Linked DNA regions of Alligator mississippiensis. The protein of the gene in region 4 binds, or shares a complex with, the protein of the main gene of each other region. Links are inferred from orthologs where the notes say so. Each region holds a gene or a part of one and is shown on either strand. Other genes may lie near its edges.

The links.
Region 1: PRPF8 (region 4) and LSM8 share a complex: the UniProt entries of both Homo sapiens proteins name them as parts of the U4/U6-U5 tri-snRNP complex. The link is inferred for Alligator mississippiensis from reciprocal best matches to the Homo sapiens genes PRPF8 and LSM8.
Region 2: PRPF8 (region 4) and LSM5 share a complex: the UniProt entries of both Homo sapiens proteins name them as parts of the U4/U6-U5 tri-snRNP complex. The link is inferred for Alligator mississippiensis from reciprocal best matches to the Homo sapiens genes PRPF8 and LSM5.
Region 3: PRPF8 (region 4) and USP39 share a complex: the UniProt entries of both Homo sapiens proteins name them as parts of the U4/U6-U5 tri-snRNP complex. The link is inferred for Alligator mississippiensis from reciprocal best matches to the Homo sapiens genes PRPF8 and USP39.

Annotation. Positions count from the first base shown.
Region 1 is NC_081827.1:48,187,885-48,194,737, reverse strand, and holds the start of LSM8 (LSM8 homolog, U6 small nuclear RNA associated), read left to right. Parts: upstream 1-3,835; 5' UTR 3,836-3,934; coding exon 3,935-3,965; intron 3,966-4,620; coding exon 4,621-4,661; intron 4,662-6,853. UniProt on the Homo sapiens protein: Plays a role in pre-mRNA splicing as component of the U4/U6-U5 tri-snRNP complex that is involved in spliceosome assembly, and as component of the precatalytic spliceosome (spliceosome B complex).
Region 2 is NC_081828.1:129,630,423-129,637,892, reverse strand, and holds the start of LSM5 (U6 snRNA-associated Sm-like protein LSm5), read right to left. Parts: upstream 3,017-7,470; 5' UTR 2,962-3,016; coding exon 2,916-2,961; intron 1,459-2,915; coding exon 1,363-1,458; intron 1,135-1,362; coding exon 1,107-1,134; intron 1-1,106. UniProt on the Homo sapiens protein: Plays a role in pre-mRNA splicing as component of the U4/U6-U5 tri-snRNP complex that is involved in spliceosome assembly, and as component of the precatalytic spliceosome (spliceosome B complex).
Region 3 is NC_081830.1:10,641,733-10,648,854, forward strand, and holds the start of USP39 (ubiquitin carboxyl-terminal hydrolase 39), read right to left. Parts: upstream 3,007-7,122; 5' UTR 3,005-3,006; coding exon 2,704-3,004; intron 2,620-2,703; coding exon 2,550-2,619; intron 2,216-2,549; coding exon 2,121-2,215; intron 1,487-2,120; coding exon 1,350-1,486; intron 1-1,349. Other genes in the region: C7H2orf68 (UPF0561 protein C2orf68 homolog), read left to right, coding at 3,539-3,663, 3,831-3,946, 4,061-4,206, 4,728-4,850; TMEM150A (transmembrane protein 150A), read left to right, coding at 6,114-6,178.
Region 4 is NC_081837.1:504,351-511,280, forward strand, and holds the start of PRPF8 (pre-mRNA-processing-splicing factor 8), read right to left. Parts: upstream 3,022-6,930; 5' UTR 2,982-3,021; coding exon 2,882-2,981; intron 2,796-2,881; coding exon 2,627-2,795; intron 2,488-2,626; coding exon 2,323-2,487; intron 2,232-2,322; coding exon 2,013-2,231; intron 1,348-2,012; coding exon 1,135-1,347; intron 843-1,134; coding exon 717-842; intron 637-716; coding exon 531-636; intron 1-530. Other genes in the region: apoptosis-inducing factor 3, read left to right, coding at 5,513-5,541, 5,637-5,717, 5,848-5,957, 6,147-6,256, 6,681-6,725, 6,817-6,898. UniProt on the Homo sapiens protein: Plays a role in pre-mRNA splicing as core component of precatalytic, catalytic and postcatalytic spliceosomal complexes, both of the predominant U2-type spliceosome and the minor U12-type spliceosome.

The DNA.
Region 1 (6,853 bases), on a different chromosome or scaffold from region 4:
CTGGAGTCTGCCGTCGATGGCCAGTCGAGGCTTCTTTCAGTGTGGTGTTATCTTCAAGAAGGGGGTTGCCGGCTGGTCCTTCTGGCTGGACGGGTCGGGTGCTGGTCAAGTGGGAGATCAAGAGGGCGCCCCTGAGGGTCACTTTTCACTGCTTTTTATTTGTCCTTGGCAGACTTTGGTGATTCCCCAGTTTTCAGGTTTGCCCAATCCAGGGGTCATTGACCCTCGTGGGACTTCCCCCCTTGGTGGCTACTGGATGGCATCTGTCAGCCCCAGGGGTTGTCCGCATGTACGTGCAGGTTTGGAAGTCCATTGATGAATTTTGAATAGGGCTCTGGGAGCGGTCGATTTGGAGATATTCAGCCCAAAAGTTGGTCCCCGGCGTTGATTAACTCAGGCCAGGGCTTCTAGCCCTTGAACAGTGAGGTTTAGAGATTTCCCGGTTGTTACATTGGCTTCTATTGATTTCTTCCGTTGGTTGATCTGCAGTTTCCCAGGTGTTAATTGCTGCCTGCTACAGTGTTACACATTCAATCACTGATTCACTCCCTCTTTCAGGGGCCAGCCTGATACAGGGAAGCCAAAGTTTGACTCCTGCCCTTATTAACATTGCTACTAAACACATTTATAGTTGAAAGTTGAAAGGTGAGCAGTATAAAATATAAGCTACAAATGCCATTGCACACAAATAGATAAAAATACCAAAATACACGGGGAGATACAAAATGCACACATACAATTTTTAAAACACAATTCCTTATCTTAAAGTGAAAGAAAGAGGAAGGAAGAAAAGGTAGAAGAGGACAAACTTATTCAAAGAGGGGAGAGCAACTGCAGGCAAGAGGAAAAGGGGGCTTTCTGCTACAGTGCTACACTGCTGGTTCTAGCCCTAGAGGACCATCTGCCAGCCTTGGAGAACCAGAGCCCAGGGCTGTTTCTATATTTTATATTAAGAAGATACAGAAATAGTCCTGGAAAAAGGAACCTGGTAAACTTGGACTCACTGCAGGTGTATGTCTAAACTATGAGGCCACAGTCTTGCTCCCTCCCTTTCTGTACTCCCATTTCTGGCCCAATGGATCCTCAATTATTTTTCTGCACATCAGCATGAGGGATGGTGCCCTTCTATTCCCAGAATAGCCTATGGTCTGTTGTTTGGGTATAGTCCTGAGAGACAGGAGATGAGCTTAGTCCTTTGAAGGAAAGGACGTAAGTGTTGACCTTCAGCAGGTTTTAGGACTATGCATCTGAGTGGATGAAGACACCGGAGGACTAAGATTTAATACTTGCTCCTGTTCTCATCTTTTCCTATTGGGAAGCTCTAGGTTACTGTGTATGGCATCTGTATTTTAATACCTCTTTTGAGCTGCCTATCTCTCCCCTTGTTATTCACATGAAGCCCATGTACTTCCCCATAAAGGTATGGGGACCAGGCTCCTATGAATTAGGTACTGCAGCCTATGTTCTATATGGGCTCTGGTCCGTATTAGTTCAGTCCCCATTTTGCAAAACTAGGTTAATAATTCTTGCCTACCTTATAGGACATGGCTCAGCAGCCTATGGCCTGCAGGCCACATCCAGCCTGTGGGTCATTTGATCCAGCTTGTGGCTGTGGAGCATTAGCAGTAGTTGCTTCCCCTGTCATGGGGAAAAGCAGTGGTGGCACCTCGGTCCCAACTGGATCACTGGCCTATAGCCTAAGCAGGCTACCAACTGCTGTTACAGATTTTTGTTAGGATAAAAGTACATGAAAGATTTCTAGGTGTTAGTATACTGTGGCATTGTGGGCCATGTACATTCTTCCCAATGGAAATCTCATGGGATTCTGACTCCTACAGGGCACTTAATTCTTGGCCGTCTCAAAAAAATTATTTTTATTAAAAGAACGACAGGTACAAAAACAGAGAGGGAAATGTCATGACACAAAAATGCCTTTAGCTTCTTAACTGTAACACATTATAATTAATTCCAATCCTTGTCTAAGGTTTAGTGGCAGCTCTTAAGCTTTTTATAATAAGAGCTTTAAGAGGCTGAGCATTATATAAAGCTCAGGCTGCAAATATATTTGTGCAGTACAGACTGGCATCTTTTCCCATGTTTCTGATTGGAAGGAGAACATAACAGGCCCTCTGATTTTAGAAAAACAAGTTTCTCACCTACTACTGAAGTGCCAGGACCTCTTTGTACATCTATGGTTTTTTTCCCTCTCTCCCTCAAGTAGTTATGAAATTCAATAAAAGAAATACTCATCACTGTCATTTTAATCATTTTCATCACTGTCTGAAAAAGGGAGGACCCCAAACTACCGTAAATGGGAGCTAGACAAAGCTGTTTAATTTGCATCAAAGTAGCTCTATTTATCCAGTAAGGCCTTAACTGAAGGGTATGGCAATAATACTAATGCAAAACAGAAGAATCCAGCTTGAATGCTTACACAGACAAGTACTAAAAAGTTAAGAAGTAACTATGCAATTGCAATGTTGAAGGGCCCTATCTACATTACACATATTATGCAATTTACTGGTTAATTGTGCAATTCATTTAGACCGGCTACAGGTGTAAAGTAACTATCACTCCATAAAAAACATCCTTCCCTCTATAAAGTTAGAGCTTGAGGCAGGAGATGAGCTTATTTCTTTGAAGAAAAGGGTGTAGGTGCTAACCTTCAGCAGGTTTTAAGACTACACCCCCAGTAGGTGAAGACATTGTGTCATAACATTTCCCCTCACTGTTTTGTACCTTTCCTTCTGCAGTCATGAAAGTGTTCCCATGGCGGAGCAGCCCCTGAGGAAGCAGGAGGGTGCATGTAGTGGGGAATACTGCATGACAGCTATGCCCCCTCAGCTGAGAGCCCCACAGCTCCCAGGCCTCCCAGCTGAGGGGGTGCCCCACACTGCCGTGGCAGTGTCCCGTGCACTGCACCAGCGCTCTCAGGGGGTGCACATGCATCCCCATGCACCCCCTATGTGTCGCCACTGGATGGCGTTAAGGTGTGACTGGCAATAGGGTGTGAGTGGACCGGATGCTGGGTCCCAGACACACCTCTTGCCTGGCGACTGTGTGGGTCATACATCAGATCCCATCACACCTTTCCCTAGACATCTGAAGGGGCCCAAATAGTGTTGCCAGGTGTATGATAATTTCAACTCTCCTACGATGTATGATCAGTAATAATAAAAATGGTTCAAAATGTACAGTCATTTTTGAGAAAGCTAATTGAAGCAGCGTATGCAAAAGGTAAGTCACTCTCAGGGAGTCTTACCAACTTTTGGTTTTGCTTTCAGTACTTTCATATTACTGCTTGCCTCAAAATAAAGAGATGCTTCAACTTTGATGACCCAGTTCTCACCCATTCACGGGCAGTGAACAATAGAAAGTAAAGTAAGAAAGAAGACTTATTTGCATACTGTTTCAGTGTACAATAGTTTTTCAGCAAATACGATAATTTTGGGCTTCCAATAAAATAATTTCAGGGGTGTAGGCTGTAGCTGTGTCGCTCTGAGGACATAAGCAGACAAGGCTCTGGGTAAATCCGGTATCTTTCATTAAAGCCACTGAAACTGTTGGACGAATTCTCCCTGGCAAGCCAGCCCCGCCCGCACGCGGACACGTGACGTCAGCACCAGCCTCTGGCAGGAGGGAAAACCCAGTGCGGCACAGCGCAGCCAATTCCCCGGGATCACGCATGCGCAGTAACACCCCCGCGCTTTCTTGCCGAGGCGCAGGTTCGTTTCAGCGCATGCGTATTCAAAACCTTCCCCCTCCCCCCCGCCCCGGTCCTCCAACGCGCCCAGTGTCGCGAGAACAGAGCACAGTTGGCGTCAGCTCCGTTTCCAGAGCGCCGCACTTCCTTCCGTCACCGGAAGTCATTTGCTGCGGGCTGTCTCGCGGGAGCCTGTAGCCGGGGCCGGTGCGGGGCGCGGGAGCTGCCGCCATGACGTCCGCCTTGGAGAACTACATCAACCGTATCCCTCCGGGCCTCGCTCGTGTGGCGTCATGGGGGGGGGAGCAGGCGGGTGCGTGCGGGACGCGGGGCAGCCGGGCCCTGGAGGCAGCGGGTCCGCGCTTGGAGCCCCCATCCGGAGCAGGCTGCGGCGAGGGCGGCGGTGCTCGCGGACCGCCCGCCTCCTGCATCCTCTCGAGCGGAGCCCAGCACAAGGCCGCGCGGGCTGGGGCTCTGTGACCCGACTAGCGGGTCTCACACCTTGCACACAGCCGGACTGAGCTGCCCGCGGGGCCTGTGCTGCCTGCCGCACCCACACAGGCAGCTGGGGGCCCTGTCTGGACCAGCCCCAGGGTCAGGCTGATAGGGCTGCTAGCAGTACATGTCTCCTGCCAGCCCCACACACCATGTGCCAGGCCAGCCCCGGAGTGGGGCGCGCGCTGCTGCGTGGGGGCTGTGGCAGGCGAGCTCTGCGCACAAGCTCTGGCCCGGCCTGAGCCCTCCAGCAGACAGGCCCAGCAGTCCTCATCCTGCACATGGGAGTAGATGAGTTTGACACCTCTAGTTTGGAACATGAAATGGCTTTGCATGGTTTCAAGGCCAAACATTTGAAGGGGGGGGCATTATGTATGCAATGTATTGGATTTTTTTAAGTGTTTCCTTAATGGGCCCGCTAGGCACTGTTGCTGTAATTACCTCGGATGGAAGGATGATAGTGGTGAGACATTTCTTCTTCTCAACATCATGTTGCGTCTCCTCAAAAGTCTTTAGCAACCCAACAGGCAGCACTTAGGATGTAAACGTCAACAGTCAAACCCTGACAGTGTGTGCAGGACCACCAAAAGCGTGTGATATTAAGTGGGGTTGACAGTAGCAGGAAGCGTACACCAGGTGGCAGCAATTGAAGGAGTTCACAAGATGCAGCAAGTTATAAAGACCCATTTCTGTTCTAGAGTCGCACGTTGCACTAGGGGCCACAAAGCCTGTCTACTTCTATCTGTTCATTTTATGAAGGGCTGTGCCCCAACTCTAAATAGAGGGGCCAGGGTTTATAGCCTGCTCCTTTGGTGTATGTTACAGAAGTTCATGACAATACACCTGACACATTTTCTTATCTAACATAAGATATGAAAGAAACACCACAAACACAATCTGTTAAAAGTTAAATAATGATGAGCTGAAGGTAAAAGAGGCTCTATAACTGTGCTCGCAAGTTGAAAAGTAGCTTCAGCCCCTCTGTTCCATCCTCCATTGCTCTCGTAATAAAAGCCTCAATAATAGAGTTGAGTGTGATATGAACAAGAGTGATTGAATATAGTTTATTGGAAGAGATCCCTTTCATTATTGCAGCTTGTGTGCTGTGCCTTATCACCTGAGGGTTTAGCACTTTTTAGCCTGTTAATTCCCCTCTTCTGATAAACTTGTAAAAGCAAATATTTTCTCTTGGCTTCTTATAAAGTTGGCCTGCGGAATTCTGGTATGTACTGTGTATATTGTTGCATCCATTCCCATTTATAGTGAGAAGGAACTTACTCTACCAAATTCTGTATTTAAGCATTATGATTATCATTAAACCAATCAAAGACTCAAAGTTTCTATTTGTGTTCTGTTTCTTAAAAGTTCAGTACTTAGCTTGACTGTTAGCTTTTTTCTCCTGAAATTCAGTCTCTTGTAATGACCTAAGACAAATTTGAGGTGTGATAAATTAAAGGTCTAGTTGGTTTGCTTTCAAAATGATGCAATATGATAGTGTTATTCGTCACTGAAATTGATATGCCAAGCATCTATCGTATAACTTGCACAAAATGTTATCCAAATTTAGAGAACATTGTTTTCAGCTTTCTGCCAGGCATTGCAGTGTGGCAGCCATTTTAACATTTTTGAAGTACCTCGATTTATTTTCTTAGTATTAACTATTAGAAATGTTTCTGCTAATTTAAGCACATGTGACTAATCAACAAACTTTTATGAGTTTTCTTGCTTGTAAATATAAGAAAAAGAGATTATATGCTGTCAGTGATATGCTAATAACTCTTTATTTCCTGGTTCAGTACAGCATCCTGATTATTTTGTATAAAGCCATAGTCTGAAACCTTATTATTGAACATCTTCACTTATGAGGAAGCCAAATGTGATTGGCTTGGAGTACTTTCTACCATTACAACTCATGCCCTTATTTTGCCAAGCCTGTTCCCCATCCTTCAAATCCACTCTCAAGACTCAAGCTGTACATTGCTGAGAACTGTCAGGTTCTGTGCCACTTCCTGTTTAGCTATGTTTTCCTCTCATAGCTACTTTGGATTTTGTTTTCCCATGCCCTTAGGCTGGATGCTCCGTGGGGGTGAGGGTATGTGTGTGTACAAAGCCCATACAGACACTGATTCTGATTGATTTTCTTCTCTACTAAAATAATTTAAGAGTTATTGACTGTACTGTGCATCAGATACTTTATAGCAGTAGTGCTCAACTTCTGGCCAATAGGTGAGATCCAGCCCATGTGGCCATATTATCCTGTCTCTGGGTGTCCCCTGAGGTCCGGAAATGTGGTGGCAGGGGAACAGCAGCAGCGTTAATTGTTTCTTCTGTCCTGTCAAATTTCCAGAGCCATGGGGAGCCTTGTGGGCTGGATTGAACTAGCACGCCAGGGGTTACTTTACAGCTGGATTTACCTGCAGACCAGTCCCTTGCTGGATCAGGCCAGAGGACTGACCACTTGCATGGGATGTGGTACACAGAGCAGCTCCATGCCACTTATCTGGCTTGTGGGGTAGGAAGGCTGAACATCACAGCTCTACAGTAACTGCCTGTTTGTATAATACGTGTAGTAAGTGGTGGCTAACCTGTGGTAACTCATTTCTCTTCCATTGAAACTAAATTATTATGGGTTAGTTTCTGCTTACCATGGGGTAA
Region 2 (7,470 bases), on a different chromosome or scaffold from region 4:
TTACTCCATTTAAGCACATCAGTTACAGAAACTCTTTTCTGTAGCAAACACTAAGGAATATCAACAGTGCTTTCAGCAGGGTAAGAAGAGCTCACTGGTGCCATGAGTAAACTGGTTCAGGTACCCAAGGTAACTTGTTTAACACTAAGTTAGGGATCTCTACACTACACAGTAGCTGGCAGGGTACATACAGCTACCATCTAGGAAAAAAATGCCAAAACAAAAGCCTCCTCTCAACCACAGAAGAACGTACATAGCATTGATACTGGTGAGGTATCCATGCTCAATCACTGACTTTTCCACCAGAAATGCACAGTTCAAGGCTGGCCAATCTTCCTCACCCTTCTAGTCACATACCAAAATCCTAACATGTTCAAGAGCAGAAGGACATAAAACTTTCAAAATGGCATGCCCCAGAGTTAATGATCTTCAGACAATGCCCTAGCTTGAATAATAACTAACTGTCAAATGACTCAGTCAAATATGGAAAAAACAAACAACTGGGGGGAGAAAGGTTTATATTTAATTTTTTCTCTTTCTTCAGGAGTAGTTTTTAGGATAAATTGATAAGCATTGCCTGTGGATCCTAAGCTGTACGCTCCTAATATAGTCATTTAAGAGGTGACTGAAAAATTACTGGACAGTAATATATACACTTTCAAACTGAGGCTTAGGGGTGCGGACAGAGGTAATGTTGAGATGCTTCAATTATCTTTGAAGAGCAAGCCAAACAGGCATGTACTTCTTTTAATGTACTAAAACAAAAATAAAAATGGTGGAACCCTCAATAGTACTTGTTTCCAACAAGATTATTTCCATAAGCACTTTTTACTACAGTGGCATGCTCTGCAGAGCATGACAGGAGATGTCTGGGTTCTCCACCTTCCCACAGTGCTCTACAGGGCATTGTGACAGTGAGCACTTTCTTGAGGATCTTCCCCCGCCTCCCTCCACCACACACACCAGACTCAAGAAGCCTCATGCCCCACCATCCTCCTCCAAATAGGAATTCTGCTTTCCAGAAATCAGTATATATTCTTTTGTTAGAATTTTTCGGCATGTGAAAACAACGAAGTTAAAATAGCCAAGAAAGATATAATACTTACAATTCTGTAACATCCTCTAAAACCATGTCTGAAGTCTAGGATCAAGGAATAAAACTACAGAAAACATAAAGTTATTAAACTGAAGTTTATTTTCATTTCATAACAAAAGCCATGCCTTTTTTATTTCCAACTTCAAGTAGCATATTTGTCAGTGCAAAAATGTTTGGAGGTTGGAAAGAACTTAAAACACATGTAAAGGCATTGAAGAGGCAAACACAAAAATTGATACCCTGAAAATGTTTCATGTAAAGGATACTGACAAAGTCATCAAACCCTAGGAGCGTGCCAACAATTTCTTTATCACTCTTCATCACAATGTGAATACGTGAGCCTATACATTTGTCCACAAGCTCTGCAAATTTAAAAGCATTTGTCATCATATAGAATAAATGGACATCTATTTTTAATGTTCACCTTTTACAGAATGTGAGGATAAACAAGTGCACATTCAAACAGAATGCCAGAAACATTGACAGACCAATACATATAAAAATAGCTTTTGTTTGGATATCCACTGTTATATACACAACACAAGGGCATACCGAGTACTATATAACCCTAGCGAGCCCACTTTGGAATGAAGTTTTAGTAATATTACTATTAATGATAATCAATTTCAACAGTACCCAACATGCTAAGCACTTTCCAGATCCAGCTGCATAGAAATCTAAATAACAATTCACATAGGGTTTATGTTTACATTTAATCTTTACATTTTTTTCTACATCCTATTAACCAGTGATGCTCAACCACCAGCCCATGAGGTAATGTCATCTGGCACATAGGTCTTTGCACAGGCCCCAAAATTTGGAGCAGTAGCAGTGTTAGCAGCCCCTTTCCTACTGCTAAGGTTCCAGACCTGGGAAAAGCCTGGCAAGCTGGATGCTGTGGCTCTGCGTGCAGGGCTGAGCCTGCACACGGCTAGATTAGGCACGTGGGGTCAGGCCAGCCCATGGCCAGAGTGGGTAGACAGGGGTCAGGCTGGCATGCAGCCAGTCCAAAACAACCACCCCACGCAGCATCCGGCCTGGGATGAGGTTGAGGGTCCCAAAGGTTGAGCAGTGCTGCCATTAACAAAGATAGATAAATTAAATAATACATTCTTAGAAGGTATAATCCACATTTAAAAAAATCTTTGGGACAGCAGAATTTTAGCTAGGGAAGAACGGGATCGTTTGGGAGCTCCGTTTTTCCCTCCTGCCTCTGTAAGAGAAGCATATGGGAGGAAACCTTTTACAGGCCAAAATGCCTTTGGACAGACATCTTCCAGAGGGGAGCTGCATCCTTACGTGGCCCCATCTACGCGTTACCTATACTGCACAACTCATGGGTGAAATGTGCAATAAGTGGCCTGGCCACTAGTGCAGAGTAATGAGCACAGCATAAAAAAGTGACCAAGCAGCTGCAGACAGCCAACGGGCCGCTGAAGTAGCACTTCCACACACACAACAACCCTGCGGCCGGTCCAGTGACAGCCAGAGTCCCCACCCCACCCTGCTGCAGCATCGCCCCTCCCACGCGTCACGTAACACCCTCCCCCCCCCCCCAGCCTGCGCACTCCACGTACGACGTACGTCATCATCGTTCCACCCACGCCGGGAGGGAGCCGCGATCGCAGCGCAGTCTCACGTGACTCCCCTCCCCCAGCCGCGTCCCGCAAACGGTCTAACAGTTCTCGCGCTTCGTCCCCTCCTCCAATCCATCCATCCCTGTAGCCAGTACTAGCGCTTCCCACGCACCCAGAGCCCGCGGAAACCAGAGCCTTTGCTTCCTCCCCGCTCCGCTAGACCCTAGCGGAAACCCACTCACCGAGCGGCAGGAGCTGCGACGGGTTAGTCGTCGCGTTGGCCGCCATTTTGGAAGCAGACCTGCTCAATCGCACAGCCTCCAAGGGGAAATAAGCCGAGCGAGATGCGAAGGAGCGAGCTGAATGGCTTGGAGCGCCCCCTCCCCCGCCAGACTCAATCAATCGATGTTGGAGCAATTAAGTAGACCTTTTGCCAAGCCCCTTTCGCATGCTCTGGCCCCAGGGCCACGCAGGGCACTGACCAAGGGAGACTTGCATAGAGGACGCTGCGTCCTTACTTGTGCATGCTCTGCTTTTCAGATCCCCTAAGTCAGCCACTTTGCACAGTCTGGAGGGACCCGTGGCAGCAGGAGGCAATACTTTCTCACTTTGAATTAAGTTTATGGTAGTGCAAAAGGCAGGCAAGTTTCTTTGGGTAGATGCGGCATCTTTTATTAGACCAAGTAGTTAGAAAAAAGTTTTTGGCAAGCTTTCGGTTGCATTCACCCTTCTTCCAGCACAGGGAGTCTATCTATGCTGGACTGAGACTCCAAGAAATGAGAGAAGCTAAAAGTGTGGCTAAAAGTGCAAGAGTGATGTCGTAGCCCGGAGGGTCTGCTAGAAGCAAGGATTTCTTAGAACAATCGCTCTTATTGGATCAGCCAGTTGGGTTAAAATAAAGTTAGACCAGCTTTCAAGACTTGAGGAAGAATATCTTGCGTTTGAAAGCTCGTCTAACTTTATGCCAACTACATAATTGCTCCAGGAAAAGCTATCACCCTAAGAAATTCTTGCCTTTTGCATAATTAAGTTTATAGGCATTTGACTGTGTTCTCTCCTGTCGCTGGGCCTTGATGAGCAACACTGGAAGCGTTAGGTCGGCTGAGCACAAATCATAGATAGTTGCAGTTCTTCTCACCTTGTGCAAACTTTCTGCATCCTGTGAAAGTCTTCAGGGTTAGGCAAGGTGCAGGTAAAAATGCAGTTGGGAGTTTCAGATGCAAACCTATGGACAGTTGTGGGGGTTGGGTTTTTTTGGCTGGATCAGGGAGCAGTGGAGTTAGCAGCCCCCCATAGAACACTGACCAGCCCTTTTTAATACTGTTGTTTTAGGAAAGGCTGTAAATAACCTTCCTAGCTAGCTTTTTAGAACTGCACTACTCACGTCTATGGTCCGACAAAGGGGCTAGAAAAATGACCTAATTGCTGCCTGCTTTGAATGTATTCTGGTCAGCCTGTACAGCCGATAAGTATCCCAGTGAAAATAAAGCCAAATTTACCTCTCTGAACAAAGTGATCCAGAACATACACACACTTACAGTGACACTTAAGCCAGAATGAACTGCAATGATTAGCAGAAAAATCAAGCATCTATAGAAACCACACACTAGTGCTAAGTGAAAATTGCCTTACAGGAGAAGGTCAACCTACGGAGTCTGGGATGGCCTACATTTCTTTTGGAGTGATCAGTCCAAAGAAGATAACAGAACCTGGAGTTTGTTTTACTACTGGATGGACTTTAGTTGCCATAAAGCTGAGAAACATTTGTCGTATAACCAAAGCAATTTCAGAGAAGGGAGAGGCACAACAGGTAGGATCTTTACACAGCAAATATAAAGAGAAATGCAGAAAACAGGATATTGACCTCTACTGTATCTCTGTTGATCTTAAAAACACAGTTAACACTGGCAGCAGAGAAGGCTTACGGACGCTTCTCTTGGATGCCCCAACAAGTTTGCTGTAATAGACAATATTATGATGGGACAATGACAAGCATGATGCCTCCAATCCATTTTCAGTAACAAATGGTGTAAAATAAGGCTGCATCCTCACACCCACAATTTTAATGTCTTAACTGCCAAGCTACTAGCTGTTGCCTGAATTTAATATAGGTATTCAGTTTAGAATGCGGACTGACAGAAAGATAGTTTAATCCCAACTGGATGCAAGCAAAAACAAGTGTGATTGAGGACTCACCCAGGAACTTCTGTTTGTTAGTGACTGACTGTCTTGGTTATTCATTCCTAGAAAGATATACAAGTCATTACGGATCACTTTTCAGTTGTGTGCTCACATTTTGGATTATTAGCCTTAAAAAAGATTGTGTACCAGCTTGTTCCTACATAGGACATGCTATAAACTGAATTAACCAATCTAGGTGATGCACAATCTAGGTGGTGTACAACCTACACCCCTCCAATCCAGGTGATGCACTCTCATGTGAAGTTCACTCAAATGATGATGTTGGCAATCACTTAGAGCTACTGCAGCCTTTGGAAATATACATTAACGCAGTGGTTTTCAACCTTTTTAGACTCAAGGCACTACTTGAAAAATGTCAGCTCTTAGCTTTCACTTCTTTTTTTGACTACAGAAAAATTAAAGAGAAGTTCTTCTGTGGCAAAGAACTCAAAGACCACAACAGGTCAGAATATCTTTGACACGATGGATTCCTATCTGGGGTTTATCTTGTAAAGCATGAATATGTGTTTGCACACCTACCAGTGCTAACATTGTGTTGCACTCCACAGCACCCTTGAAAGGACTTCATGGTACCATGGCTGAGAATCACTTCATTAATGTCTTTAGAATAGGGGATTTATAATTTTATAGACAAAGGAGACATACAAAGGCAATATTCCTGACATTACATTCCTATTCTTGAACAGGAAAACCCATTATCTCACTCATGAGATGAAATGAGGGCTCCTTCAACTACGAAGGAAAATGATAAAGATTTAAACCTTCCAATATCCAAATGGAGATCTTATGTTTGAGAAAACAAGTTGTGATTTTCCAAAATTCTGCAAAACATTTAGACGTGCATCATGTAAAACTTGCTAACTCTTCTCATCTCCCATTTAGGTTCCTGGGCCGGTGGCTTTCTTACCAACCCTAAAAGGAACTAGTAAAAAACTTCAAGGCTTTATTTACCTTGGGGCACAATTTATTGTTCCAGCACAAGCCTCATAAATAGTATCAAAACAAAGCAACTCCCCTGACTAACACAGACTATAGTCTCCATGGCTTTTAAAGCCATAACTATACCATTTCTCTCCTGAACCCACATCTGCTCCTGGGGAAGTTAGTTGTGCCCACTTGTTCCCAGTGGGTCACATCTAATACCTGCAATTAGGCAATATAAAACTGCAAAATAGGGCTGAAGCAAGTCTGCACTCATGCCCTCAAAAAAGCTCAGCATCGCTCATTAGCATTTGCATTGTCTAATTGCAGGCTTTGGGTATCCCCCAGCAGCAGTGACTGACTAAGCTTTACTTCCCAGTCAAGAGAGAAGTGGTATAGACATAACCTTACTGAACAGCTTTCATTCTTCACCTAGCACTAATTCTTGAGTTCACACTCCCCAAGTCTTCTACCAGTTCTTCTGTCTCATCACAAGCTGCTCACAAATCCCAGCGAACCTGGATTTTAGTCACATGGTTATCATGTGACATTTGTGCTTTTATTTTCCTTCACTTGGGGCTAAACCTGACAAGTCACCTTGTCACACCTCTCCTGTAACATCCACACAATTTGTCTAAGGAAGACCCAAATATAAATATCTACACAGTAAATTGGTAACACTGCCATGAGATAAGCAGGATAAATGCAAAAGCATAGTCAAATGTTTTCCAACAGAAAAGCTGCAGAAAGTCACTGGTGCATTAAGCCTTTATCTCAAAAATGGATGCTTGAGACTTCAATGAAAAGAATGTCACACTGCTCATGGAAATGTGTTCCTAATCATATTATTAATGTAAAGCATATCTGTTTCAAGTCTCACTGCAAGTAAAATCAAGTCAGCTGATCCTGATTGTCATTATTACTTTCCCAATGCTGCACTTGCTGACAGTTATCCTGTAATATATTACAATGCAGGTAGGAGAACTATGTTACTAATTTGTGCTTTGTTACTTAGCTACGCGCAGAGGGAGTGAAAAATTTCACAAAGTCAGAGCAGTTTGTGCCTGACATTATTCCACCTGAGTGTATGACAGCTTCCAGACCTCTATTCCTCTTCCACAAGTGCCCATAGCTACATAGGGTGAACCATGGAAAAGTCACAGAGTATGGCAACAATTTGCTTTAAAATACAGCAGCAGGCTTCCTGTTTTATTACACAAGCTGACATCTTGTTCTACAATGCCTTGTTCTTTTTATTGCCTCAGCTAGCAGGAAGGAGAATTTCAAACAATGAAAAAAACCCTCTCTCATAAACAATAATCAGATTTATCCAGGAACCTCACTTAGATGATTCCTTATGACAACCTGCAAACTAGTGAAAACAGTCTCAGACTATACCTCTTCTTTGCTGAACTGAATATGAAAGGTAGTTTCTAGCCCTTCTTTTTGGTTATAGCACATTACTGGAGAAGATAATGGCAGTATTTCATAAATGTTTTTCTTTCCTGGCTTTATTCTAAGCATTATAGAGAACTGTGTGATTGAAAAGACCTAATAAGTAATCATTCACCTACCAGTGTGGAATAGTTCCTTACAGCATGTCTTTTGTTCCCTAAAATATATTTCTTATGTAATGGAACTTTTGTTGAAGCTGATGAATATTATGTAATTGCA
Region 3 (7,122 bases), on a different chromosome or scaffold from region 4:
TCACATCTAGTCTAACCCCCTGCCTGAGGCAAGATCAGCACTGTCCAAACCATCCCAGACCCATCCATCATCTAAACTCTCCATAAGACAATGCTGGCACAACACCAGACATCACCTCTGAGCCTTCCAGAGAAAGCAGGGGAGCTGTGGTGGCCAGCATCCTGCTGCTGTAAAGAGTTGTTAATAGATGCTCCAGAAATCCCCGAGGAAGTCTGTGCCTCCACTACAGAGGAAGGGAACCCTTCCCCCCCACTCCATACCAATCTGACTGGGGGAGAAATTACTTCTAGACCCCAAATGCAACTGTGGTCTGAGCATGAATGAAAAGGCAAGATCCTCTAGCCAGGACGCTATGGTTCGAGTCCCAGCAGGAGCACTGGTACAGCCCAGTCGCCATCCCCATGCTGGGCTGCAGCCAACAACCAGTGCCTCTAGAGAAGGCTTAACCACTCCCCCCGCCACCTGTATCATGCCTCTTAGGTGCCTTTTCCCCCCAAGCCCAGCTCCTTCATCCTCTCCTTGCAGGACTTGCTTTCCAAGCCCTCCATATTTGTCACTAGCTCTGGACCCTTTCTCAGATTTCCACATTGTGTTTAAAAAGTGGAAGCCATAATGGCATGCAATCTAGAGTAGAGGCATGATCACCTCCTGCATCTTGCCCCAACCCACCTATTGATGCCTCCCAAAACCACATCCACCTTGTGTGCAGCTGCTTCACACTGCAGGCTCTCAGTTGGGATCCAACCCTAGGTATAGGCAGAGATTTGCTATGGGCAAAAAGAGCCTGTTCCAGCCCCTAGGCCTGGCTGGACCACTGATTGCTACATACGCTGCTTGTGCAAAGCCTTTGCTAAAGCACTGGCTTGATCAGTGCCCCTGACCAATACCTGAAGTCCTGATAAAAGCAACATTAGGCACTTGAGCCAGGCATGGGCTCCTGTCATGGGATGGCTGGACAAGGGGTGGAATAGTTCAGTCCCAGAAGGCTCAGGCTGGGATGGGAACCCATCCAGTAAAGCCCAGAGGCCCATGATCCCTCCAGATATTCGAGAGACCAGTGGAAGGTGACACACCATGTGCATGGATGGCTGTAGAAAAGGAACCAGGGAAAGGATGGGAACTGGCTCAGCCTAGAGGAGTCTGAATAGGGGTGTGCTATGACATGGACAAACATATGTGCACGCCTTGGCTGTCAGATCATGTGTGTGTTAGGGCTGTGCCTTGTGACCAAAAACCTGGCGGGGCCTTGGTGACTGACCGGAACTCACAGTTGTCTCTAAGGTTTCTTCGTGCTGTGCCCCCTGCTCCTCCCAGTCCCTCCCGTGTCTCAGTCCCTCCCCTAAACATACCGTGATATCCTCCAGGGAGGAGTCAATGATCTCGTAGTTGTCAGGCAGGCAGTAGAACTTGAGCGTGTGCAGGTTCAGGAAGACATGGTGGCTGAACTGCACACTGTGGATGTAGGCGTGGGACTTCAGGCCGCGGCCTGCACGTGAAAGGGGCAGTAGTCAAGGCACACACATCTACACGTTTGCATATATACACCTCCACACACAGATGTGTATAAACGGACACACATACACATGTACACACATACATAGACATGCATACACAGGTATGCACATGGATTTTTGTACATATATGCACGTATACAAGTGCACACACATGCACACACAATTACATACACATGTATATATACATATATAGACACATACATGCAAACATGTACATATACATTCCCACACAAACAAGGATTTATGCATGTGTACGTGCACATGTATGCACGTGGATTTATGTATAGGCATGTGCACATGCACACTTGCATGTATATATGCATGTATACATGCACATCCACACGTACATGTATTTGCATTCACAATCACACATGATCATATATGCACACATGTTTGTACATGCAAAGCTAGGCTGTGTGAATGAAGTAGCGCTTTGCTGGAGCGCCCTGGGCACACTGTACAGCAACAGTAGCGTTATGCTTCCCAGCTTTGCTGGCTCCTGAACCGTGAGGCCTGGGGGAAGAGTCAAGACCAGAGGAACCCGCTGCAGGCCCCTGCCACCCGGTCCCCCTGCATGGTGCTGCACAGTCGCATTTGAGCACTCACCCTGGAAGTACTTGCCGCAGACAAGGCAGGCATAGACGTTGATGTGCGACAGGGAGATGGAGCAGAGCTTCTCAAAGTCGAAGTCCAGGACACTCCTGGGAGTGAATGGGGAAGAGGCTGAGTGGGCAGGGCCTGAAGGTGGCCCCAGCGCAGACCTGTCTGAGGCCGCCTCTGGGACCTCCCCCTTGCCGCACCCCGGCTCCCAGCCCTGGGCCGGCAGGAGGCAGATGTTGCCCCTGCTCCAGAGCCTGGGCGGGTGCGTGCACATAGGGGCATGGCGGTCATGGAGCACATGTGGGCACGCCTCTATGCCGAGGCAGACATGTGTGGTACATGCGAGCCTACACACATGTGCATGCCAGTGTGGCCACACATGCACACATGTGCACACGCCCAAGCACCCTGTGCACGTGAGGTCCTGCCCCGCACCTGTTGATGGTGTCTAGGTAGGGGCAGTGGCGGCTGCGCCGGTCCTCGGGGTCAAAGCGTCCGTAGCGCACTGCAGGACACGGACACGCGTCAGCGGCGGAACCCAGGCGTCCTACCTCCCCTCCCCTCCCCCGACCCGGCCCCCCGCGCCCACCGGTGACTTCGGGCTCCGGGTCGGAGTCGGCCTCTGCCTCGCGCTCGCGCTTGATGCGGGGCGGCCCCTCGGCGCGCTCCCGCTCCCCGGCGCGCTCCCGCCGTGCGCGGTCCCGCTCCGATTCGGCCTCGCGCTTCAGGCGCGCGCGGTCGGGCTCGGGCTCCCGCCGGGCGCGGCCCCGGTCGCGCTCCCGCGCCGCGCCCCCCCGCGAGTCCCCGTCAGCCTCGCGCTTGCCCCGCGCCGAGCCCCTTGGGGACGCGCGCAGCTCCCGCTCCCGCTCCCGTTTCACACGGCTCGACATGGCCGCACCCCCAACACAGCCCGCGTTGCCTCTCTGCGCATGCGCCGCAGCGATGACGAGGGTGGAGCTGGGTAGAACCAAGCGCTTACTTCCGCCTTTTTGCGCATGCGCCGACACGCAGAGCCTGTGGGCGTCTGCTTTACTACGGATCCCTGTTTCCATCCGATTCGCATTTCCCCTCTGGTGTCTCTCGTACATGCGCACTCACATCCTAATGATGTTCAGTCAGAGCTGACCCTAACTCCCCCCAGCAGCCTTTCTAAGATTGCGCATGCTCCCTACGGGCTGCCAGGTGGCCGACCGCTGCTCTCCCCGGAGTTCCCTCCTTAAAGACACAGCGCCCCCTTTTTTCCCGTTTTTCCTAGAAGCTGCTCGCCGCCCTCGGGCCGGGACGTCTCTGCTACACCAGGCCCCCCGCCCCGCCCCGCCCCGCCCCCTCGGGGCGCGGCCCTAGCCGCCTGCACAGCCCGAGGGGGACCGAGTCCCCAAACCCACCTGGGGGGGTAACGGGGGGCGGGGCCGGGCGGCGGCCCGATGGAGGCGGCCCCGGAGCCGGAGCCGGAGCTGGAGCTGGAGCGGGGCGGTGGGGGGCGGCCGGGCGGGCGGCTGGACATGAGCCACGGCTTCGTGCGCAGTATCCGCCGCAACCAGATCGCCAGGTGCCGCCCGCCGTGCCCCGCACTCCCCACCTGCCCCCCACCTATCCGTCCCCCGTGCCCCCAGCCCCAGCGCCCCCGGGTTGAGAACCCCTGCCCCGCCCGAGGCTTCTGCCCCCCATGCTGGGGACCGCTGGGAGACACCCGGCCTCATGCCCTGCTGCCCGCAGGGATGACTACGACCGGGAGATGAAGCAAGCCAAGGAGAAGGTGAAGAAGAGGCACACGCCAACCCCCCCGCGGCCCCGCAAGCCCGACCAGCAGGTGTATCACCCCCGGCGGCGAAGTGAGCCCGGCGCCTGGGCTGGGGGGCAGGGGCAGCAGCAGGGGCAGGGGCTGCAGGTCAAGGCTTAGGGGCAGGAGGCTGCCCCTCTGCCCTCACAGGCCCCTCTCTGCCCAGGCCAGCCGGACCCCAGCTACAGCCTGGACTACGAGGGCTCCAGCGAGAGCAGCTCCAGCCCCGAGCCTGACCCTCGGGGCCCCGAGCTGTTCTGCCTCGAGTTCGAAGCCGACAGCGGTGATGTCACAGCCGTCATCGTCCACCAGGTGAGGGGCAGGGTGCCCGGGTAGGCGGGCTGCAGCACCCCAGGACAGCACTAGCGGCCTTAGGTCCTGTCTGCAGTGCCCTGGGGTCCAGCAGGGGTCTCAAGCTCCTGTGGGTGGGAGGGCAGGGGGCAATAGGGTGCACCCCCTGGACAGGTGGGTTGGCACCTGGCTGCACAACCCCCAGGCCCACCAGGAGGTTGGCACTTGGCTGTAGTCCCTGGGGTCTGGCAGGGATGGGAAGGCGGCAACACCATGAACAACTGGTGCCTCCCGAGACTGGGGGAACACCATTTGTCGGCAGCGAGCGGGGACCGTCAGCAGCGACAGTGTCGGTAGCAGGGGGGAGGTTGCGAGTGGGGACTGGTCGCAGCCATGTCGGCAGCAAGGGGGTGGCATGTGCCCCCCCCATACCTGCCTATGCACTGCCTACAGCCACCCCCAGGGGCTTCAGCATGAGCTACCCTCTGCCCCGCAGGCCCCGGCTCATGGGGGCCGCAACCTCTCACCCTGTCTCCCCGCAGGATGACAGCCCTGAGGAGGTGGCGCAGCAGGTGTGCGCCCACAGCCCGCTGGAACCTGTCCTGCGCCAGGCTTTGTGCCAGCGGGTGCGGGAGGAGCTGCACAAGCGCCAGGCCAGGCCTTGAGTGGGCAGCGGGCGCTGGGCCTGAGCCTGTCCCGCAGCCCAGACAATAAACACTGGTGGGAACACAGGAGTCCAGAGCTGTTTTCTCCTAGGAAACTGAGGCAGAGCGGGTGGGACCAGAGGGGTGCTGGCAGGGGGACCCAGGTATCTGGGAGGGGCCAGGCCGTAGGAGGTTGGGGGCAGGTGGAAAGGGGAGATGGTGGGTGTGACATTACAATGAGGTCACAATGATGTCATGAGAGGAACAGGAGTGTGTGGGCAGACAAGGGGTCGGGGAAACGGACGGGCACACACATGCCCCTCCCCCCAGCAAAGAACCCAGGTGTCCGGGCTGGGGGATGGGGGCAGCCGCGCCCGCCCCTTCTTGGCTGGCTCATTATGCAAGCACCGCCCCGTTAAGTGACGTTATGGGACAGCGGCGCTGGGCACGCCGGGAGTTGTAGTCCCATGGAGAGGGCGGCAGGACTCTAGTTCCCGGCATGCCCCGCGCGGGAGGGGGCGGGGCGGGGCCGGCCTGGCCCTTTAAAGGCCCGTGTGGACTCGGCGCGGCCGGGTAAGGGGTGGGGGTCCCGTGACAGGATCCCCGACGCCTGGTTCCCGCCGGGGGTGGGGGCGAACAGCCTAGTGGTCAGAGCAATGAGGGGCCAGGAGCCCGGACGCCTGGGTCCCCTGCCTGGCTGGGGCCCAGCTGTGACCCTGGGGGGAGGAGGGGCTGCTATGACATCATCCGCCCCGTGCCTCAGTTTTCCCTCGTGGGGGTGGCACTCTGGGGGGCCTGCCCACTAACTGCGTCTCCAGTTCCCCCCAGCCGGGCTTGTTCCCGGGGCTCCTTCGTTAGCCACGTGGTTGCAGCAGGGTGGGCACCAACCTAGTCCCTCCGAGTTGGGGGGGGGGGAAGCCAACTGTGCAGCCCCCATTCTCCTCCCCTCTCCCCCGCGAGAACTCAGGCGTCCGGGCCCTTGGGAGCAGTCTGATGGGAGTCCGGGCACCTGGGTCCCTTCCCCAGGGGTGGAGGTGAGAGACCGAGTAGTTAGAGCATAGCTGGGTATCGGGAGCCTGGACACCTGGGTATGCTGCCTGGCTGGGGGGTAGAGGGGCAGGAGCCCAGACGCCTGGTTCTTTGGGGGTCCAGGCCCTTCCAACATCTGTCCAGCAATCTGTTTACCCCCCACCCCCCCGCAGCCTCCAGATGCTTCGGGGCAGAGACGCGGGGCAATAGCCAGTGCCCCCCCCAACCCCCCAGCTCCCCCCTGCCGGCCCTCCCATGACCGCCTGGATCATCCTTCCCATCAGCCTCTCTGCCTTCTCCATCACCGGCATCTGGATTGTGTGAGTGACTCCCAGGGGCCCTTACCAGATCTGGTTGTAACGTCCCCACCCCATGTCCTCGCCTCACCCCGCAGTGCCACCTCCGGCCAGCAGAGGGGGCCTGGGCCTGGGCTCGGGCTCTAATGGAAGGGGGCACTTAGAGGTTGATCCCCACCCCCCAGCTCCCCTCTCTGGGCACAGGCTCTGGGATGGGAGGCAGAGCTCCAGGCCCCACCCCCAACCAGGCATGTCTGGGTCGGGGTTGGATGGGAGGGATTGGAGGGGGTGCAGTGAAGCAGGGGTGGTTGGACAACCCCTCCCCCTCCCGGGGAGGTGTCTTGGGGGAGGGAGGGAGGGGGGGAGGGAAAGACAGCCAGCCAGGAGATGCACATAGAGCCCAGGCATCTGGGAGTGAGGGAGAGACTGACACAAAAGAACACAGACCCAGGTGTCCTAGAAGAGGACAGAAGAGACAGGAAAACGACCCAGGTGTCCGGGGGGGGGGAGGGGATAGATAGGAAAGGACAACAGGACCCTGATGCCTGGCCAGGGACAGGTGGACCGATGGGCAGAAACGTACACACAACTGAGGTGCCCAGGAGTTGGAGACAGATGAATATAAAAGGACTCAGACAACCCAGGTGTCCTGGCAAGGGACAGATAAGACAGACAGACATGAAGACACCCATGGAACCCAGCCATCCAGGAGCAGGACAGATGGACACAAAACCACATACAGAACCCAGGCATCCAGGAGGGGGAGACAGACAGACAAACAGGAAAGGACATATACAACCCAGGTGTCCTGGCAAGGGGCAGGTAGACAGATGAAAACCCATACAAAACCCAGGCATCCAGGAGCGGGACAGATGGACACTTAAATGCATGCAGAACCCAAGCCTCCAGGGAGGGGGAGATAGACAAACACAAAAGGACACAGAACCCAAGTGTCGTGGCAAGGAGTG
Region 4 (6,930 bases):
CCAAACCAAATTATCTTAATGACCAGAGCAAAAAAAAAAGTAGACTCCCCTATTTTATATGTCAGCAAAGTAGTATACGTATGGGGTCCTACTCGCACATTCGGTGATTGACAGGGTGCCAGGAGTGGGTACAGAGACAAAGCTTATGCTAGAACTACACTGTGGAAGTCACAGGTGCACACTGTGAAGGCAGAAGCAAGTTAGCGGAGCTCAGAAGAGATCAGAGATTTGTACGTGAACCAGACTCATTTGCGGTGCCGGAGAGATGATCAGCCCACTGCTTGGAATCACGCCCTTGTTCGCTGGTTGGGGCCAGGAAGGATCACGCCCCTTCACAGACAGCACCGAACAGCAACGCTTTTACAAACAGGCCTATCATTTTCCCTGGCAGTTTGCATTGGCTACCACGTGAGGCAAAGTCATTACGCTACGCCAAAGCCCTTCCCTCAACACGAGGTCTACACAAGGCTCCAAGCCAGGGCTCCTTTCTCCCAGCCCAGTGCCCCCCTGGCTCACGGGCAGTAACTCACCTTGACAGAGTGCCTGTGAGAGATTGGATTGATCAATGGATCAAAGTAGAAAGCTGGCAAGTCCGGATCTTCTGTTTTGATAAAGACCACATTTGGCGTATGATACCTGCAACACGTGCAAAGTGTTAGCGCGTCTTGCCTGGACAAACTCTCCACACCCCAGGCAGCAGACAGGGCTGTACTTACCAGGTCAGATGCACGTGATGTGGCAGGTTGTTATATAGGTAAGGGAAAGCAATTTTGTACTCTGTCCTGATGGGCTGCCTGATGATGATTTTGTTGATGTCATTGAATTCGTTCCAGTCTTCATCCCTTTGAGAAGAGAGAGGCCATCCGGTGAGAATGCGGAGTGCAGTGCAAGCAAAGGTCAGGGACCAAAACGGCAGGGTCAGCATTTGCAGCGCCCTCGCATTCTACCCCCTCCCCCACTCCAATACCGACGCAGCCTCTAAAGAAACAAGCGCCTACCCACATGCACGACTACCTCGCTGCCAGGAGCCGCCCAACAGCATTTGGCCTGGGACAAATCGCGCAGCACACTGAGGATCCCACTCCCAGACCAGGCAGCGCCCATCTTCCCTCCTGTCCCCAGCTCAGCACTTACTGCAAGTTAATGTCTCGAACAAGAGGCTCAAACTTGGGACCCCCGGGAATAGCCATGTTCAGGGCCTTGGAAGTGAAGAAGGCCTTCAGGTCAAACAGATAGAAGTAGTTGTCATCCACAAGATCTGTCAGCAGCTGATTGGCCAGGCGGTATAAGGTGGACATCATGGGGAGTGTGAACTGCCAGCGCTGGTATGTGGAACCATTCACGTACCTGCAAGGAAAGCACCGCGCCGACCAGTCACCGCCAGGCCAGAAGGCGACCGACCCTTCAAGCGCCTTCTCTGCCCCATCCCACTTACTGCAAACGGGAAAGCGAATCATCTCGCCGTTCCCTCCGCAAAAGGAGGGAAGACTGCGTATTTATTCCAGTCCGCTCCAGACAACGCGCACCTCCACCTGCTACCGTGCAAACTCCCCTCTCTACCCCTATACCCAAGATTTAGATGTTAACGCTTGGGACTGTAGCAAGCAACCTGCCAGACAGCACAACGTGCCAATGCAATTTTCCCCAGGAGGTTTGGCTGGCCAAAGCATAACGCAGCCGGCCCGTTCACAGCAGACAACACTGTCTAAATACCACGCACGAAGTTCTCCCGAAACGCTGCTCTGACTCCAGATTCAGTCCTTCGTGCTTCCCTGGAAGATACGCCGAGTTTCATCTCGTTGCAGACGTCTGGCCAGGAGCAACCTCAAGTGTCCGGGTCCCGCGAGCTCTCCGCAGACGCGGAAGGGCCCAGGACAGCTTCCACGCTCCGGTCCCCCCACCCCGCGCCCCACGCTGCGCACGGCGTCTGCTGCTCTCCTCCCGATGGCCACGTTTCGGCGGCGCCGCACGACGCTTTGCAGTGAAACGCGCCGCCGAGAAAGGGTACTCACTTCCTGTTGTCCTTCAGGGGCTGGTGGTCGTAGAACCAGTCCAGCACGGGGGCGTCTTCCTCCGGGTCCAGCTCCAGCTGAATGGCTTCCAGCGGCTCCACGTCCAGGATGTTGTCGGCGTAGTCGAGAGGCGGCTCCTCGTCGTCGAAGGGGGGGAACCGCATCCTTTTGAAGTGACGCCGGTCCCTCTTCTCGCGTCTCATCATGATCCACATGGACCTGGCACAACCCGACACCATCAGACACGGCCCGCCCCGCCGGCTCGAGCCGCGCCCCAGACCCCCCAGGCCCGAGGGCCGCGGCGGCTCACCCCCACTGCGCGATGTACACGGGCTCGATGACCCACGGGATCTCGTTGACGAAGGAGATGGCGCCCGTGATGTGGTACAGCACCGGCACGTCTCGGATCTGCTCCCACGGCATCGGCATGTTCTCCAGCAGCTTCAGCACGGCGTGCGGCATGTACTTCAGGGCCCTGCGGCACGACCGCTCCGTCACAACCCGCCCGGCCACCCGCACGGTGCCTCCCGCCGCACGGGCGCGCCTCCCGCACGCGGCACCGCGCCGGCCCGGCCCGCCCCGCACGGCGCAGCGCAACATAGCGCAACACGCACCCCAGGTAGACCCGCTTGTCGTGCCGGAACTTCCTGTTGGTCATGTCGCCGTGGTCGCGGATGATCTTGCGCACGTGCTCGGGCGGCATGTCCTCCTTCTGCGCGTCCACGAACCCGAACTTCCTCTTCTCCGCGTAGCGCTTCGCCTGCAGCTGCTGCCACTTGCGGGCTGCGGACACGCGAGACCCGAGTCAGGCCCGCCCCTCCCCCACTGCCCCCCACGCCCCTCCCCCCCGGCCCCGCCCCGCCACGCACCCTTCTCCTGCAGCTTCTCCTCAGACATGTAGTCGGGCAGCGGCGCCAGCGGGCTGGGCACGGGCGCGCAGCCCGCGCGGTACGGGAACACGGCCGCCATGGCCCCGCTCCGCTCCGCTCCGCAATGGCGGCCCGCGCCAGGCACCCGGATGCAGCCAGGGGGCGGGGCAGCGCCTGCACCAATGAGCTCTCGGGTTGCGAGACGGAGAGGAAGGGCAGCCTATCAGAGCACTCGCGCGGGGAGGAGGCGGGCGCCCTGGCCGGAAGAGGAGGGCGTGAGGAGGGGGGGTCGCGCGCTAGGATATACTTCCGGGACAGGCCTGACCCCAGCAGGGCTCGCCCTGATTGGTGGGCGTGAGCGCCCCCCAGCGGCGCGGGTGTCGCCTGCCACGTGCGGCCACGTGCGGCCGGGCGCGAGGAGCCTGGGAGCGGGTGACTCCCGCGGGCGGCGAGGGGAAGGGACGGGGGCCGTGCCCAGGATGCCCCCGTGCGCCCCACGCTCCCCTTGCAGCCACCGGGCTCAGCACCACTGCCATGCCGTCCCCTGGGCCCTGCTCTCCGCAGCGCCTGGCCAGCCTCCAGGGGCGGCGCCGTCCCCGAAACGCAGGCAGGGCCGTGGCGCCGTGCGCAGCTCCGAGCAGCCGTCCCGCGCACGCCCCGCTCACGTCTGTGTGGGTGAAGCCCAGCGAGCGGCTTGCCTGCCGGGCATCTCACACCCGTCGTAATCCGCGTGTCACGAGTCAGCTCAAGCCAGATTATTTCCACACTCCCATGAGTCACCTCCCCGCTCCAGCGCGGCTCCCAGCCCTCTCTGCAGGCCCTCAGGAGCTGCCTGCATCGGGCAAATCCCCAGGTTTTTTATCCCAGCTCTGCTCAAAACAAGCTCTTGGCTTTGTGAACCGGTGCGGGCGTCTGAGCTCGGCCCCCGCCGCGGGGCAAAGCCAGAGCCCGACCCCGAGCGCTCCTCGGAGACCGGCTCGCTCCTGGCGGCCGCGTCTCTGCAGCTGCTCCAGCATGGGGGAATGCACAACTCCAGAGCTCTTGGTTCAGGGACGACACCTTTTATTAGACCAGCTCGCAGGCACCGGGAAGCATTCGAGAGCCCGCGACCCTGGAGGAGGAAGCGACTCAAACGCCTTGGCAAAGGCCGGAGGAGCGCGAGAGCGCAGGGGCGCGCGTCCGGCGGCGGGAGCAGGAGGAGGTGCAGCCCAGGTCGTACGCTCTCACCCCTGCCTGCTGCTCGCTCAGGAGCTACTGCTGTCGGGTCGTCCCGCGCCCGGGGCTCGCTCACACCGTCCCCGACACAGGTGCAGCCCTCCTTCCCCGGCGGCGATGCTGAAAGACACTGGCGATGTCTTCCGTTGGATCTTTTGTCCAGCAAGAGAGAGCACCCCAAAACATCCTGGCTTCTCTCACGTCCTCTGGACGACCCTGGCTCCCACATCCCTCCAGTAGTGCCCAAAGCACTTGCTGTCCCCAGCCAGGAGCTGGACAGACGCTCAGCCAGGGTTGCCGTACAGACGATGCATTTGTCTCGGTTAAGGTCCTGGTCCCCGCAGCTGCTACGTCTCTGATTTACGCCTCCCATTGGCACCTTGTTGCACGTCTCGGCCTCTTGAAGGCTCAGGACAAGCTGGCGGCTGCTTAACCTGGCAGGGGAGATAGCGCGTAGCTGTGTCCAAGACGGCCGTTGTCCTGAACCGCACCACAGGAGGGAGAACTGCTCTTCTGGCGTGGTTCAGCACCCACTGAGGTGCAGCAGCTTTAAGCCCAGTTTACGGGAACGGGAGGTCTCGTCCCTTGCTTGCTCCTGGGGTCTTATGGCTGAGGGCAAGCAAAACTTGGGGGCATCCAAGCCCCAAACCTCTGGGCTTGGGCCTGCAAGTAGGACGCCCGCCAAAGGTTTTGGAAACGTCTGAAGCCCCAGGTGCAGGAGGAGGGTGTGCGGCGGTGCAGCGCCGCTTCCAGTTCTGCGCTCGGATTTGGAATTGGGTTTGGCCGGTTTGGCCTTGGATACAAATTAAATTCAAAACAAAACAAAGCTCCTGGCTCTGGGCTTTGAAGTCGGAGAACCAGAAGCGCTGCTTCTTTCTCTGCAGCTAAGCAGCTTCTGCAAGCAGAGTCAGCAGTCTCGTCCCCCCGGGACCCGCAGGAGAGGCGGCCCCTGCCCGGCCGAGCCTGGCGGGCCTCCTGCGGGCGGGCTCCAGCCCCTTCCCGGCCCACTCCTGCGGCCAACGCGGGGAGCCGGGGGGCGCCCAGCGCGGCACAGCGGCACGAGCCGGCTCCCGCACCCGCACCCGCCCGAGGGGGCTCCGTGTGCCCGGGCCGGCGAGCCCCGCAGCCCCCGCACCTGGGCCAGGCTCCGCTCCGCTCCGCCCCACCCGGCCGAGCTGCGTGCGGGGCCGCTGCTCCGGCTCAGCCCGGGCGACAGCAGCCGGGTATGCCGGGAGCCCGCCCCGCCCCGCCCGCCCCGCCGGGAGCTCCGCACGTGACGGCCCGGGGGGGCGGGCGGCGGGCGCGGTGCAGCCCCGCACCTTGTGCAAGGCGACGCGCCGTGGGCGGCGGCGGCTACAAGTAGCGCGGCCCGCCCCGCCTCGCCCCGCCACCGCCGGGTGCGCTCGGCCGGCCGCGATGGACAGGGCGCCGCAGCCCGGGAGCAGGCGAGTATCCGCAGATGCGGGCGGGGGGCCGAGCCGGGTGTGGCCGGGCCGGGCCGGGCGCGCCCCGCGCTCACCCCGCTCCTCCCCGGGCGCAGCCCCCAGGCAGCCGCCGGCGACACAGACCCGGGCACGGTCACGCAGGAGGTGTGCCGCGAGTGCGACGTGTGCGACGGAGAGTGAGTGCCCCCCCGCGCTGCCCGGCAGGACGGTGGGTGCCCCGGGCCGGGCCGGGCCGGGCTGGGCAGCCCTGGCCGTGCCCGTGCCCGTGCCCGGGGCGCTGCTCAGCGCGCCGCCCTGTGCCCGCAGGCTGCGGGAGGTGGAGGTCGCCGGCTTCCCGGTGCTGCTGGTGCGGAGCGGGACGCAGTTCTGGGCCCTGGGCAGCCGCTGCCCGCACTACGGAGCGCCCCTCTGCAAAGGTGAGGGCAGCCCCACCGCCCCACACGCCGCCCCACAGCCCCGCAGCCCCCGATGGGATCGGGGAGGACGCCCGCGCCTGCCCCCGTACCCCCGCGGGGTTGTGCCCCTGCCCAGCGCAGCAGGCACACGGGAGTCCTGGAGCCAGCTCTGCTCCCACTGCTCACCCTCTGCCCGGGTCTGCCTCGCAGGAGTGCTGAAGGGCAACCGGCTGCGCTGCCCCTGGCACGGCGCCTGCTTTGACATCAAGACCGGGGACATCGAGGAGTACCCGACTCTGGACTGCCTGCCCTGCTTCCAGGTGACTGTGGCTTGGCTGCACCCCGTCGCCGTGCCCGGGCATCGACCCTGTCCCAGCCGAGCCCAGCCCCGGCTGCTTGGGCAGGTGTCCGGACGGGCCCTGCCCAGGCTCTTTGCAGCTATCTGCATTGGCTCCTGTAACCGTGGGGCTTCTCCGCTTCCTGGGGGTCCCTGGACCAGACCCAGGTGCCCATGCTGAAGCCCACGCCAGGGGATGATGCACAAAGCTACCTCCCGTGCAAAGCAAGCCCACGGCCCCAGGGGAATCGGAGGCTGTGCCCTGCTCCCAGTCCGTCGGTACCACTGGGGCTCCAGGTCCTCCTAGCAGAGCCTGCCTGGCCCGTCCCGGCACCGCGCCTCGGCCCACAGGGCCTCTGGCAGCGCCAGTGCAGCGCTGACCTCCCACTCTCCTCCGGTCCCCGCAGGTGAAAGTGGAAGATGGGAAGGTGTTCATTACTGCCAGGAGAAAGGTACCTGCCTCGTCGTCCCCCACCCCCTGCAGCCGCAACCAAGCGTAGGGCGAGGGCCACCGCTTGCCTTCCCTGACCCGCTTTCCTTTAGGACCTGGAGAGCAGCCGGAGGCTGAAGGACATGAGCAAGCGCTGCGGGATCAACCAGACCACGGTGCTGCTGCTGGGCGGAGGTGGGCAGGGCAGGGTGCGCCCGAGTGGGACC